Linked DNA regions of Mus musculus: region 2 is reported to be linked to region 1. Evidence: microRNA targets listed by miRTarBase, many of them from high-throughput screens and not tested one by one. Region 1 holds a microRNA gene; the other region holds the end of a gene's coding sequence.
What was found. Region 1 holds the annotated microRNA mmu-miR-3470a (UCACUUUGUAGACCAGGCUGG, at 1,181-1,201, shown strand). A microRNA usually pairs through its seed, bases 2 to 8, with sites in the 3' UTR of a target mRNA and lowers its output. Matches are read on the target gene's strand: a 7mer-m8 pairs with bases 2 to 8, a 7mer-A1 pairs with bases 2 to 7 and ends in A, and an 8mer does both.

Region 1 (3,149 bases):
AGATCCGTCTGCCTCTGCCTCCCAAGAGCTGGGATTAAAGGTGTGCACCACCCTGCCCAGTTCATCATGTTATTATTATTATTATTATTATTATTATTATTATTATTATTATTATTTTTGAGACAGGGTCTCACATTGACCCTAGATCTTGCCATCTTGGCTAGGGTGGCTCAGCGGTGAGCTTCCAGGATCTGCTTACCTCAGCCCATGAAGTTGGGGCTTCAGATGCGTGCAGCCGTACTCAACTTAACATGAGTGCTGGGGATTTGAACTCAGATCCTGTTGCTTTCACACAGGCTGCTCTTACCCACAGAACTGTCTTCCTGGTCTACACTGCACATTTTTTCTAGGGTCACCAGAGTGGACATCCATCCAGAGCCCACCTTAGTGTGTTTATTTGTTTTGAGACAAAGTCTCCTTTAGCCTGGAATAGTTTAAACTCACTATGTAATCAAAGAAGACCTAGAAACTATGATTTTCCTGCTTCTACATGGTAAGTCCTGAGTGTCAAGCCTCTACCACCACGTCTGACTTACCCAAGCTCTCTGCCAACAGGGCTACATGCCAAGGCCCATTTATTTGGCTTGGTTTTAGTTTGTATTTTGAGACAGGGTCACACTTGCACTGCTGATACCCTGGCTACCATCTCTCTCAGAGATGGACGTCACAATTAGCTCTCTCCCCCGCCTCCCTCCCCTCTCCTCCGTTGCTGGGAACAGAGTAATATAGAACTGAGGGTTGTATCTAGAACAGACAGGGAAGGGGCTGGGATGAGGGAGGGTGAGCATCCATCAAGCTAAAGGGTACAACTTGAGCCTTATCCAGCATGTGTTATATATAGTTCAGCCTGGCCTTGAACTCATAATTTTTCTTAGATTCCTAATTAATCAGATGACAGGCTCACACCATCACACCTTCCTTCTGGTTGCTGGTTTGTTATCCAAGGCTGGAGTGTAAGGGGAGGTGGTACCAGCTGGACAAGAAAGTAAGGAACACTGTTGATGTTGATGGCTCAGTACCAGCTAACAAGACTCCGTTGCCTCAGCTAAAATGATTTGTCCTGAAGCTGTTGGGGGCATGGGCTGGGGAGAGGTGGCAGTTTAGTTTGAGGGCATTTATTTGTTTATGGTTTTATTGAGACAGGGTTTCTTTGTGTAATAGAGCCCTGGCTGTCCTGGACTCACTTTGTAGACCAGGCTGGCCTTAAATTCACAGAGATCAGCCTGCCTCTGCCTCCTGAGTGCTGGGATTAAAGGCATGGTAACCACACCCAGTAGCTCAGGGATTATTCTTCCATTAGTAACTCCTTAAGAACTGTTCATCCAGCATTCTTGGTTTGTGGTGGTTGGAAGGTCAAGCTGCGTGCTTCAGGGGCCCTGCTAGAACTCCTCCTGGTCTCTCAAGAGTGCCTCCTTTCACTGTGGGGTATTTTAGCCTTCGGCTATGTCCAGCTTGTTTTCTTACCCTGTTCTGGGGACTAAACCCTGTCCATTTAGCTAAATCTCCAGCTCCATGGACAACCTTTTTACGTTATGAAATGGCACTGCTGTCCATGAAATCAAAATACCAGCTAAGGAGATAGGGAGTCAGTTAGTCATCTAAGGACCTGCATATGAAGCCTGGCTCAATGCAGTGCCATCCTATTGCTGGAGAGGCAGAAATTTGGAATCCTGGGACTCACTGGTCAGCCAGCCCATTGAAGCAGTGACCTATAGGTTCAGTAAAAGATGCTGTCTCAGCCGGGCGGTGGTGGCACACGCCTTTAATCCCAGTACATGGGAGGCAGAGGCAGGCGGATTTCTGAGTTAAAGACCGGCCTGGTCTACAGAGTGAGTTCCAGGACAGCCAGGACTATACAGAGAAACCCTGTCTCAAAAAACCAGTTCCAAGTGATCCAACACCCTCTTCTGGAAATGTAGGTACCAAGCAACCAAGCACTCTCTCTCTCTCTCTCTCTCTCTCTATATATATATATATATATGTATATGTATATATATATATATATATATTCAAAACACTCATATACATAAAATGAAAATAAACCAATCTAAGAATAAAAGTGTGCTGGGCATGTTGGCCCACACCTTTAGTCCTATCAGGAGGTAGAGGTAGGAAGATCTCTGAGTTCCCAGTCACCCTGGTCTACAAAGTGAGTTGTGTGACAGCCAAAGTTACACAGAGAAACCCTGACTCCAAAAAAAAAAAAAAAGCAACAAAGCAAGCAAACAAAAGCGTGTGTGAGAAAAGGTGAAGCCGTGTTTTCCCACCTACAAGGGCAGTGTCTTGACACCAGACTAAAAGTCCATTCAGTTGGTCTGTCCCACTGATCAATTCACACAAAGCACTCAGATCTTGTGTGAAGACACCAGAATCACGCCCGCCTTTCAGTCTCACTTATTCTCCCCTGAGTTTCCTCTCCTTGGCCCTCCACTCGCTGTCCGAGGTTCTAGCTGCATGGTGGTCTCTTAAAAACTGACAGGGTGGGCCTCTGGCCCCTCAGTGCTCCCTGTCCCTCCCCAGTCAGTGCCTTTGCAGGAGGATAGTGATTAATGGCCAGCAAAAAGGGAGGTCAAAGCTGAAGGTCCGAGATGTCATCAGTGGGGCCAGGTTAGGATGCTCTTGTGACAGTCACAGCTACTTTGACCTCCTCTCTTCAGTCTCACCCCAGGTTCCCATACCTGGGCAGAGGTAGAAGTGGATAGTGCTCTCTTTCCAGACTCTGGGGTGTCACAGTGTCTCATCATAGAGGTTTTGTTTGTTTGTTTAGTGTGGTGTGTGGGGGTGGGGGGCGCGCGTAAGCGCGAGTGCGCTGTGATATAGGCTGACTTAGAACTCTTGATTCTCCTGCCCCCCACCCCACCTTCTAAGTGCTGGGATCACAGGTGTGCACCTACACTAAGCTTACTATGGCTTTCTTAATGCAGGAAACCTAGTAAAAGTTTAATTAAGAGTAGAAGGCTCACATTATCATATAGGGGCCAACCTAAAGGTTAGTACTGAGGTCTCCAAGGCTGCAAGCCTTGGGAACAAAGGTAGCCAGTAGGGGGTAGTGGCCGGAAGCCACCACTAGAATCCTACCCACTTCCTCTCCATCCAGTGTCTCCAGAGGTGAAAGACAAGCCAGGTCTCTGAGGAGTGGCCAATGCCTG
Region 2 (3,000 bases), not on the chromosome of region 1:
CCAAACACTGAGAGTGCTCACCCTCGAGGAGTGCAACATCACAGACAGCCATGTTAACATGATGATTCTGGGCCTTAGCCCTTGCAGCCAGCTCCAGCAGTTCAAGTTTCTTGGAAACCCGCTCTCAGGCAGTGCTCTCCGGCGCCTTTTTGCTGCACTCTGCGAACTCCCTAGGCTTCGCCATATTGAGTTCCCAGTACCAAAGGACTGCTACCCCGAGGGTGCCATCTACCCTCAGGATGAACTGTCAGTGTCCAAATTCGACCAACAGAAATACGACGTGATTGCAGAGGATCTTCGAGCAGTACTGCTTCGAGCTAACCGGGAGGACATCCAGGTCTCCACCCCACTTTTTGGAAGTTTTGATCCAGACATTCATGAAACCAGCAATGAACTTGGTACTTTTTTGCTGCAAGCTTTCAAAACTGCTTTGGAAAACTTTTCCAGAGCACTAGAACAAATGGAGTAGGTCCTGGAATCGTGCTGTAAGAGGCTGTGCATTTCTAGTGCCCTGAGGTCAGTCCTGGACCAGATGATCAGGCTCAACCATTTGTCACCAGCAGCAACACTGCCACAAGATTTCCTCAGAGAAAACTGCAGGCGTACTCGTTACGTGCTCTAAGAGGAAGCCAGATACATAAATGAGACATGAGGTGCTCCTGTGTGTTAGCACAGCAAGATCTTAAAGCAGAGGAGAAGCCACCTTACACCAAGACAGAAGGTGGAGAATGTGGTCACCAGGGCAGGATGTAGTGGGAACAGGGTCAACTACTTAGCTCTGATGCTGTGAGGGGAAGAAATGAGAAAATTCACCACATGTATATCAAAATGTATAGAAACAGCAGCTCATAAAAAATAGACACTGAGCCGGACGTGGTCGCGCACGCCTTTAATCCCAGCACTCGGGAGGCAGGGGCAGGTGGATTTCTGAGTTTGAGGCCAGCCTGGTCTACAAAGTGAGTTCTAGGACAGCCAGGGCTACACAGAGAAACCCTGTCTTGAGGAAAACCAAAAACAAAAAACAAACAAACAAAAAAAAGACATTGAAAATAAAAATGAACCAGACCCCTGAGCTAGCAGTTTAGTTATGTTCTATCTGCTGTGTATTTTACCAGATGACATCGGCTACACAGAAATGTGGGGGATGGGGTGATGATCAGTTTTCTATCGGTGGCTGTTTGGGCTTTGTTTCCACCTGCAGCAGATTTTTATCGTCTTTTGGTGACTGAGGACATCTAGTCACTGAAATATGCCCAGTGTTTCTTGGCATACTCTGATCTGCTTTCTGCTTAGAGTTCAGACTGTAAGACAGGCATGTCTAACCTGAACAGTCTATGCAGTCACATGTGACAGAGGATAGCTATGAACGTAGCGCATTACAAAGTTGGAAACTTACTGAAGACACTGAGATGATTTTTTTGAAACTCGTGACTCAGTTTTCAAGAATGAGCTTTGTAAATGTTAACATATCTATAAGGCACACGAATCACTGCTCCTCCTCAGAATGGCTGAGGCCTGGCCCTTTGCAACTCCTTTGAGAAACAAATCATCACGTAAGAAAGACTCGTTTAGACTTTATTTCCAGTATTTGCTTTGCCAAAGTACTACTGTAATGAAATGCTAATAAAATAGGAGTGTGGCTAAACTCATGTACAGTTTATTTACGTAATAATCTAAACTTTAAAACTTAAGAGTGTGAAAATAATTCTTTTGTGACTGAAGTAAAAAACTTAGCTCTATAACCATCCGTGTGCCAACCAAGGGACTTGACTCCCACTTGTAGTCCTTCTCCATGTGACCCTTCTCAGGTACCTCCCCATTTCAGGACCTCCTCTCACAGGTAAACCATTCCAGATCCTCCTGTGCTGTCTCTACCCCCAAGGTCTGTCTACTTCCACTTGACCCCGAACAGCAATAAAATATGCTACTAACATTTTCAGTTGAAAAAGACAGAAAGCATACTTAGGATGGAAGGCGGGCATGCCACAGACTCAAACAGTGATGTGATTCCCCTGGAAAATGTGTCATTTTAAAAGATAAATCTTAGAGAAAGCCATGAGGTGGTCTGTCCAAGATCACATGGGCAAACCAGTGGAGTAACAGAAAACTAGAGCCTATGTGGCTTCCTTCAATGGTCTAATGAATTAGGAAACACAATCTTAAAAAACTGTTTCTTAGATGTACTAGAAAAAAATAACTTCTCAAAAGACTGGTAATACAGCAGAAAGACATGGTAAATAGCTACGGACAAGAGCTTTATCTGAAGGTGGAATTACCTGGCTTCTGCTCAGAGTGCCTGCTATCAGCTCTGTCAAGGTAGTTCTGAAAACTAAATGTGGAATAGGAAGCGGGCCAAGTGCTCCTTAACCATTCTATAACTGAACTGTTTTCTGGGTAAGTATTTTCAAGTTTGCCATCTCTCTACACAGAAAGATATGCACAGGGTAGAATATAGGATCTGAACACAAACTGACTACTTTGTTCACTTCCTGCATGGCTACTGACAAATAACCACACACAGGTTCCAATGTCTGTAAATCAAACACCCAACTCAGATCCACTCCACAAAATACTACCTATGACCTAGACAGATTGCTTTCTCCATATTAAGGCTCTCTATCCCCATCCTCTGTAAAATAAGGCTATGTGGGAAAGCTCACTTAACAGACTTCATAGTGCATCCTCACACAAGGCTAGTCCCTAATAGGTGTCTAGATGCTGGGAGTTCCCAGTGCTGGTAACTAGCAAGAGTGATTCACCATACCTAAACTGCTTACAGACTATGAGTGACTTCTACCACTTGCCTTCCTGTGGGAATGGAACTGCTGTGAAAGGTCACATGAATAGATCTCACTCTATCAAAATCTTGATAGTCTCCAGTGAGCTTTCCTGGGAATTTGTTGTGTTTCTAGTTATACCCCTAAACTAAACAATGCTCCCTGGGATTCCACAGTGTAACCCCTGGTGGCTCCATCTGGCTCCCTCTAGATTCTTCTACAT

Region 2: the mRNA of Lrrc14b is a reported target of mmu-miR-3470a. Seed matches in the 3' UTR shown: 8mer at 953-960.

What each region holds. Positions count from the first base shown.
Region 1 is chr6:83,088,412-83,091,560 of GRCm38, reverse strand. Mir3470a (microRNA 3470a) reads left to right here and starts at 1,174; the gene lies at 1,174-1,250.
Region 2 is chr13:74,358,223-74,361,222 of GRCm38, reverse strand. It overlaps Lrrc14b (leucine rich repeat containing 14B), which reads left to right. Exons shown (of 2, transcript NM_001033042.3): 2 at 1-1,641. The coding sequence ends at 469. Ccdc127 (coiled-coil domain containing 127) reads right to left here. Exons shown (of 3, transcript NM_001168659.1): 3 at 1,555-3,000. Among named protein-coding and RNA genes, the nearest start is that of Lrrc14b, 4.3 kb to the left of the region's middle.